Linked DNA regions of Mus musculus. The protein of the gene in region 1 interacts with the protein of each later gene in a pairwise test. Links are inferred from orthologs where the notes say so. Each region holds a gene or a part of one and is shown on either strand. Other genes may lie near its edges.

Region 1 (4,518 bases):
TAAGTCTGGGGGTGCGCTAATGCTATGGTGTGTGTGCAGAAGTCAGAAGTCGTGGTTTCTGGGAGTCATTTCTGTCTTGTGAAACAAAGGAAGCAGGTTTGTTAAGCTTTTACCTGCTCCCCATTTTATTTCCCCTTGAGGCAGTGCTGCGTCTAGGATGTAGCTCAGTTGGTAGCACTTGTAGCTCAGCATGCTCAAGGCCCTAGGTCTAATCCCAGCAGCACAGAAACTAAACACGGCAATCTGCACTTGCAATCGTGGCGCTTGGGAGATGGGGGCAGAAAACTGAGAAGTTCTGTGTCAGCTATCTATCAAGCTGAAGCTCGTCTGGAACACAGGAAACCCTGACTCAGAGGGTGAGCTGCAATGTTGCTGAGTCTGGTTTCCAACTCCTGGGGTTCAGCAGCACCCCTTCCTCAGCCTCCGCAGATGGCTGTGTCTCACTAGAAGCATAAGCAATGGTCTGTTCTGGGGACACCTGTATGAATGTCATGGAACACCTATGCTAACACCATCAGGATGCAGAATGATGCACCAGTCTTACACACTTTCTGGGACTCCAGTGTAAGAAGCCCTCACGGAATTCCACAACCCTGCATGCACTCCTCTCTATGTAAGACTCCCACTGTCCTGAACTGTATGGCTGACCCCCATGGTCTCTATTCACCCACCATAACAATTCCTCGAAGGTGGGGACAGCTGAAACAAGGAAACCCCTTCCATCTCGACAGCCACCAGCCTACTCCACAGGCAGTGCCACACACTTGGCTAATGCCCTTATCTTGAACGTGGCTTTCAACCCTTGCTAGAGGCTGTCTGTAAAGAACAAGATATAAACTACCCAAGGAAAGGATTCACTGTCTTTCCCAATCTAGTTTCAAGTTCCTCTGTCCCACCTTATCAGCCTCTTAAAATTCTTTCAGCTTCAATTTAATGCAGTGCTATCAATATGGATTTAAATCTCTTCTTCCCCCCAGTTTGAGCCAATCTCCTGCCTCCTCCCTACACACATCTACAGTGCCCGGTACTCGCCCTTGAACCTTTATTAGATTTAGTCTAAGCCACTCTCCCCATTCAAACCTGGGGACTATTTATCTTCACCCTCACAACCATCTTCCAACTGGTTTCGAGTCCTTGTCTGCCAGGCGTGAAGAGACAGGAATGTACAAAAGTCCCGATCCAGAAGCAGACACCCTCCAGTAAACGACCTTGAACGCGTGCCCTCAGGGCAGCTCTCCTAACTGTGGGTGCCCTTAGGCATGAGGTGTCTCATCTCTGCAACACTCTGCCGCCAGAACCCAAACCAGCAAGCTCTGCCCTGGGGGAGGCGGGCTATGTTGTCATATGATTCTCTAATCACATGATCCCTAGAAATGGGGTGTGGGGAGAAAGAGGAAAGGGAGGAGGAATGTGAACTGAGTAGAAAAGAAACACAGCATTCCAGGAGAGTCCCGCCTCTACGTAGACAAGTAACCAATGGAAGCCCTGGATCTCCGAGCAATGGCTAATGGAAATTGAGGTGGGCGGGCCATCGTGCGGCCAAGCCCTAGTCCTGGAGCTGACCGCCAGATGCCTCCCAGGGAGCCCGGACCCCGACGCAGGTAGGAGGACCCTCTGCAGACAATCTCCCCGGCTACTGTCCAGAGGTCCAGAGGCCTGACCAGGCTGCCTGTGCAATTGAGGGTCCTCTGGAGTCTCAGCTCAGAGACAAGAGAAGACCTGCCTCTTGAAACTCCCCTAGGGGTTTCTGATGCACTAACGAGGTTGTTTTTTTCTTTTCTTTTTTGGAGGGGTGGGGGCAGTTGTTGTAGAGACACCTCCCCGCACCCCCTCCCCCCCAATAAGAGGCTTCTCTTGCCCAGCATGTCGGAAAGCTGCAGGCCTTTCTCCAGGACAGGAACCACCCCACTCTTGGGCCAGCTCCTCTCTTGTCCGTACTTCCCACCTCTGTCTCCAGGTCCGGCTCTTTCTCTTTCGGACGCTGCAAGTGTTCTCTGCGGCGGCGTGCATTGGGTGGGGATCTCCGGCCCTTGGCCCCCAGAGCTCAAAGGGGTTGCGAGCAGGACCAGGGCGTGATGGCTGAGTCCCTGGGTTGTGTCAGCTTTATTTCCTTTCTTGGGGGGCGAGAGAGCTAATTTCCGCCTCTCCCCGCCACTTTTCCCCCGCTGCCTCTCATCTGGATTGGCTCACCTTTTAGGAAATTCATTTCCCCTCGACACTCAGAGTTGGGGGGTGCCACCTAGTGGAAGATGTCGGAGCTAGGGCTTTGAAAGGCTCCAGTTCTCCCTAGCTGTGTAGTGTAGAGGTGGCCAGGGGCTCACCACTCCCTAGCCCCGTTGAGAGGAACTGGGTCTTCCCTACCCCTTCCTGGTTAGGAGATGGCCTCTGGGATGTTCTTTGAATTAGGTGAAAGGGCACTTGAAAAGACCTAGAGAAGGAAAGAGAAAGATGGCAGATCCTTCTATGTAGCCCAGGCTGGCCTGGGATTCACCTTATAGCCCAAGTTGGCCTGGCACTTGCAACCCTCCTACCTCAGCCTCCCAAATGCTGGGATCAAAAGCATGCCTGCCATGTGTGGGTGGCATTTCCTGTCTTTCATAGCCACCAGTGTCCAGGCAGAGAAGAATTGAGACACAGGGAGCAATTTCTGACATAGAGTGTCACTTCCAGGACTAAAACCCAAGTCTCTGTACCTACTTTTTAAATATTTTATTATTATTATTATTATTATTATTATTATTTTTTTTTTTTTTTTTTTTTTTTGGTTTTTCGAGACAGGGTTTCTCTGTGTAGCCCTGGCTGTCCTGGAACTCACTCTGTAGACCAGGCTGGCCTCAAAACCAGAAATCTGTCTGCCTCTGTCTCCCAAGTGCTGGGATTAAAGGTGTGCACCACCACCGCCCGGCTCCCACCCTGTTTCTATCCTGCTTGGGTCACCTGCCAGAAAAATGCTCTGTCCTGTCCTGTTTGGACCTCTGGCCTCTGGGATTCAGGGTCCTTCTCTGACAATATTCAGGGAGACCAGTTGGCATATGAACCCAGTCCCATATCCCGTCTTTTTTCCCTGACTTGATCCTTAGGCATGGATTTGAAAAGTGAAAGTAATATTATAATTACTGTTTTGCATAGTTGTTGCAGAGAAATACAGTAAGGAGAGGGAGAAAGACTCCCTAGAGGGTCTTTGAATATTGTTGGGTCATTCTGGGTTGCTGGGTAGGCCAGCTGGGCTGGGGAAAGGCTTATTAGGGAAGTGAGAGGCTCGGTTCCTCCTGCTGAGGCAGTGAGGCACTGTGCTGGGTCTTCCCACTTGCAGCTGAGTTTCGGTTTCTGAGGGGGGAGAGACGGAGGCGGTCCGTTTGAGGTGCCCTGGTGATGTCGGGAAGGGCTCACCATGAAGTTAGCTTTAAGGCTGATCCAGTCTCTGTGTCCCCTTCCCTTGGGTGGGGTGGGGGGACAGTTGTGGGTAGGCGGTGGCTGGCCCATAGGGAAGCCAGACCAGACCCCACTGACCACTGCACTTCTGTTTTTACAACTTTCTCCACTGCTCGGTTTCCCATATGATCATGTGACTGATGACTGTCCCTCTCCATCCCCCAAGGCTTTTGAAAGCTACAGGTGGCAGTTCAGTGCCGGCAGTGGGGCTGGCCATCCTCCTGTGTCTGCTGAGGTCTCCTCTGCCTCCCAGTTAGCCCACAGTCCCATAGATAAAGCCACAAAAGCCACATGCCTTCCTGACTGCCATACCCCGTGCCCCCCCCCCCCACTTACCCAGAGTCTCAGCCGTATGTGAGGCCATGAATCCACACGTGTTCATGCCCACAGTGTGTGCCAGCTGACGCATGTGCGCTTGCTGCACACTGGTAGGACGCTGACACAAGCGACACATCTGCTTGCTTTCCTGTTGGCTTGTTGAGAAGACTCAATGAAGCCAGGGCCTTGGTCAGAGCACAGGGGAGTGCGTGGCCTCAGAGTAGAAGGTGGCACAGAGTTTAAGGTGGCTGCCAAACTTTGCTTGGCATTTGTAGGCAGACCATGTGGGTCCTGATGAGCTGGCTGGCCTTCGCGGCAGGGCTGGTAGCCGGAACACAGTGTCCAGATGGGCAGTTCTGCCCTGTTGCCTGCTGCCTTGACCAGGGAGGAGCCAACTACAGCTGCTGTAACCCTCTTCTGGTGAGTGCCTCCTGCCCCAGTTGGCACCCCGGGCCTTTTGAAGGGCTGGCTACCTTGGATTGACCAGAGCAAGGCTGGCACAGACCCTTTGGTTGATGTCATCTCTTCTTTCCAGGACACATGGCCTAGAATAACGAGCCATCATCTAGATGGCTCCTGCCAGACCCATGGCCACTGTCCTGCTGGCTATTCTTGTCTTCTCACTGTGTCTGGGACTTCCAGCTGCTGCCCGTTCTCTAAGGTGACAGTGCCATTGGCTTGGGGAGTTGGGGTGTGTGTGTGTGTGTGTGCTTAAAATCTGTGTTTACCTCTTTCCTTCACTCTAATAGTCCCAAGCAAAAGCGTCTT
Region 2 (4,319 bases), about 25 Mb from region 1:
GGGCTACATAGTGAATAACAGGCCAGTCAGAGATACAGAGGAAGATCAAAAACAAACAAACAAACAAACAAACAAAGACAAAACAACAAAACAAATACAAAGTAAGATGGTAAACTTTACATTTAAATTTTCCCTTGGGGGGAGGGCAGTGATGGTGGGGCATGCCTTTAATCCCAGCACTTGGAAGGCAGAGGCCAGCCTGGTCTACAGGAGTGAGTTCCAGGACAGCCAGGGCTGTACCAAAAAAAAAAAAAATCCCTTATAATACATAGACAAATGTATATCTAATTTAATGAATTTTAAAGCAATTATTCATGTAATAGCAATAGCACATTGGCTGGGGTATGCTGGTGTGTGTAGGACTTTAATCCCAGCATTCATGAGGCAGAAACAGGGGGAATCTCTTAGTTGGCCAGACACTTCTACTTAGGTAGTTCCAAGCCAATCAGGTTTACATAGTCTGTTTCAAAAACAAACCAGTCCAAAACAAACAAAACTCCTAGCCAAGTCCCCCAAATATATATTTCGAGGGTACCCCGTGTCTGTGCTTATCACAACCTTCTTCCTATCATAACAGGTTAAATTAACAGCATAAATTGCAAATACACCTTTACATTTCAATGTTTTCCTTAAATTTAATACAAAAATGTTTTAAAAACCCAAACCTTAAGAACTTTTAAAGGGTTCCTTTCTCCTTTATTTCACTTTTGAAAGTCTTAGTCTAAAATCTATTTTGGTTCCATAGTTGACCTCACCTGCAGTGTTTGATTAAAAAAACAACAAAAACACCCAAAAAACTTCAGTGTAGATTTTTTTCATTCCTCCCTCTCTCTTGCTTTCAACTACAAAGAAACAATGATTTAAGCCCTTTGTCCCCTTTTAGAAAATTACACAGATACCCTATTGTGGAACCCTATAATCCCTCCGTGGAAAGGAAGAGATTAGCATATGAATACAAAGCAAAATGAATCCAGAATACGAAAACGATCTATCGAGTTGTGAAGCTCTTGTATTCTTAAAAATGTATTTATTTCCTCTTTTTTGAATTGCCCCCTTCGTGGTTTAAGGGTTAAGGAAATTGAGCTTTCCTCTCTGGCTACCCGGAAAAGAATTAAACACACACACACACACACACACACACACACACTCACAACCCAACACATTCTAGGAGGTGCAAAACCAACAGATGGCTCCTAGCGCCAGTAGAATCGTCAGTGGAATCTGCTACACTCGACATCAGCTTGCTCGGTGTGAGGAGTGTAGAAAGTGCTGTTCGCTAACTGCGTGGTGAAGGAGAGAAAGCGATAGAAGAGAGAGCCATAATGCTGACGTTGAAGGCCCGGCCCTGTGAGGTTGCATAGGGTAAGTGGCGTTGGCCAGGCGGCGGTGGCGAAGGGGAAGGGAAGAGGATTTGAGCTAGGGGCGGGGCTTGACGCGCAGCGTGGCTCCTCATTGCTGGAGCACGGCTGCCAATCTCGCAGATCCTCTCGCTTAACCAGTGCGCTGGCGAGACGCGCTCAGATATACCGAGCGAGCGCGGAGAAGCAGTCTCAGATCCTGACGGTGCAGCAGCCCGCAGCCTCAGCCAGGGAGTCCCAGCCGCTTTCAATGGAGGAGAAGCCCGGCCAGCCACAGCCTCAGCACCATCACAGCCACCACCATCCGCACCATCATCCCCAGCAGCAGCAGCAGCAGCAGTCGCACCACCACCACCATTATTATTTCTACAACCACAGCCACAACCACCACCACCACCACCATCACCAGCAGCCTCACCAATACCTGCAGCATGGAGCCGAGGGCAGCCCCAAGGCCCAGCCCAAGCCGCTGAAACATGAGCAGAAACACACCCTCCAGCAGCACCAGGAAACGCCGAAGAAGAAAACAGGTCTGAGAGGGAGGGCGGTGGGGGAAGGGGGACTGGATTGGAGGGGGGGGAAGCGATGGGGGTGGGGCTAGATGGGAAAAGCGCGGACCCGGTCCGGGTGTGCGTCCCGCCGGGCCGGGGATGCCCCCTTCCATTCTTCCCGGGCGCGGGCCGGGCCGCGAGGTGGGGATTGCAGCGCCCTCTCCTTCCCTTTAGCATGGGAGAGGCCCAGCCAGGCCGGCGTGACCTTCCTCGGTCCCCGCCCCGGCCGGCCGGAGGCAGAGCTGTGCCCTCGGCCTTGGAAGTCCAGCCTTCATCTTCTTTTTCCCCTCTAGTGCGGGCCCTGGAGTTGCCTGAATGTGGGGGCCCCTAAGAAGGGGGTGAAACTCAGCCGCCCTAAAAAAATAAAATAAAAAATTCCCCCGAGGTGTATGTAATTCAGGCCTAGTGAATCCATCCTGATGCGGGTGGTGTCGCGAGAGCCGCTTGCAGGCGGCGACGAGCGGGGCTGAGGGCTAAGTTGAGGAAGCGTCCTCGCTCACCCGCCGCCCCGAGCCCACCTGTGGCCTTGGGGTTTGCCGTCTGGGTGTGTGGGGGACCCTATCGTCCCTCGGGTCATTTCCACCCCTAAACGCCCGTCTTGCGCGTCCGGACCCCGTTGTCTGTCCGCGAGGGCTTCTCCGCAGGCCGGCGCCCCTGGCCCGCTCGCCTCGGAGCCGGCGAGGCTGGAATGTTCTCTCCTCCTCGCGGGGCCGCTTCCTGTCCGCCATGTTGGAAGCTGATTCCTGTCACCGACTCCGGCCGGCGGAGGAGCGGAGGGGGAAGGGTGCCGAAGGCCACACGGCACGCCGGCCCGGCTGCCCCGGGACCCTCTGCGGCCCTTTTCCGGGTCCCCCCCGCACTGCGGGCGGCCGCCGCCCGCCGCCCCTCCCCCTCCGCGCCGCGCCGCGCCGGGGTTGTGTAACCCGGTGGCGGCCGCGCGGCCCCGGGCGGGTCCCTGGGGTGAGGGGCGGGGGCGGTTGGGGTGGGGGAGGGAAGCGGCCACGAGGGGAGCGGCCTGCACCGTGGCCCCGCGCGCCCGACGGCCGCGTTTCCCGCTCCCGGGTGCGGCGGGAGGCGCGGGCGGGGAGCGGGCCTTGAAGAGGAGCTTGAAGGGGGAAGGAGGCCCGGGCGGCGGCCGTGGCCGTAGCGTTCCGCTGGCCTGCGAGGGGCGAGGGGGATTCGTTTTGGGGAGAGGCGGTGCCTGAGGCCGGGTGGGGTACCCAGCGGGAACCAAGCTCCCGGGTCACGAGTTTCTCTGCCACAGGAATCTCATCTCCTGCCAGGTTCGCTCACGACTCCGCCTCGGAGGCTTTTTCACTTAGGCCTTTTTTCTTTATAGCAGCGCATTTCCTACCCAAAAAAAAAAAAAAAAAATGGGGGGGGGTTGGGGAACAACCTCTCAAACTTTGTTCCATTCGTTTTCCACCGAACACCTAAACTTCTGAGCTGGGTAGTGACTTTGTGGGAGGGATTAATCCGATGCTCTAATGGGTGGGACAACACGGGCAGTTTTGGCTTTCCTGTTTCTTTAACTATGAACTGGAAGTGACTTGTCCATGTGGTTGTCACCAGCCCTTTACCTTGGACAAGACCTTTTTGGTGGTTAAGAGGCGTTTTGGTGCATTTTAAAACCGACTTCCATCCCCTAACTGAGTATTATTTAACATTAAATGTGGAGCCTTGAGCTACTTAAAATAAGCATCAAAGTTTATATATTCACACGTTTTGTTTTGTTTTGTTTTGTTTTTAACTGAAAAGGGAATGAAGAAAGAAGTGTTAAACTTAGTCTTTCAAGTAATACAAGTAAGTTACTGGTGAAAAACTTACTGTAGACAATATAACTTTGAAGGCAGAGCTGAGTGGATATCAGATTTTCTTTTGTAGGGTAGTAGGGACTGATGATAGAGCAGAAGTGTTTAATTGTAAGGATTTACAGCAGCCTAGAAACTTAGGAATTATGTAACTGTATTAGTTTTGCTTTTCATGAGGTGAGAAAGTATCAAGGTTGCCCAGTGGTATTGTTCACAGATTCAGAATTTGTCTTTTATGAGGTTTATGTATTCCCCACAGGGCTCCTCACTGCATAGAAAGGCAGACCCTGAACCATTCATTGAAGGTGGCCCTCCTCACAATGTGTCTTAACCTGGGATGAAGAATGAGGAGGGAACTGGGTTTAGGAAATTTAGAGGTTATTAACAGTTGGGCTCAGCGGCTTTCCCGTATGTGGTTTGGTCGTTGGGTACTGTGCTAAAAAATCTAGAAAATGCTAGGGAAATACTTAACAAGTTTTTATGAACCATTACTTCCAAAGCTATGAGAAACTGGTTTTCTGGATCCAGAAGAGGGCACAGGAGACAAAACATGTTGAGTAATTGCAGTGTCAAATCTAAAAGCTAGATTTATTTGGGAC

The links.
Region 2: the proteins of Grn (region 1) and Nufip2 interact in binary tests that used the Homo sapiens proteins (3 or more experiments, as listed by UniProt). The link is inferred for Mus musculus from reciprocal best matches to the Homo sapiens genes GRN and NUFIP2.

Annotation. Positions count from the first base shown.
Region 1 is NC_000077.6:102,428,940-102,433,457, forward strand, and holds the start of Grn (progranulin precursor), read left to right. Parts: upstream 1-1,567; 5' UTR 1,568-1,601; intron 1,602-4,025; 5' UTR 4,026-4,032; coding exon 4,033-4,170; intron 4,171-4,285; coding exon 4,286-4,411; intron 4,412-4,518. UniProt on the Homo sapiens protein: Secreted protein that acts as a key regulator of lysosomal function and as a growth factor involved in inflammation, wound healing and cell proliferation. Regulates protein trafficking to lysosomes, and also the activity of lysosomal enzymes.
Region 2 is NC_000077.6:77,684,620-77,688,938, forward strand, and holds the start of Nufip2 (nuclear fragile X mental retardation-interacting protein 2), read left to right. Parts: upstream 1-1,519; 5' UTR 1,520-1,608; coding exon 1,609-1,888; intron 1,889-1,936; exon of another isoform or gene 1,937-3,192; intron 3,193-3,667; exon of another isoform or gene 3,668-3,712; intron 3,713-4,319. UniProt on the Homo sapiens protein: Binds RNA.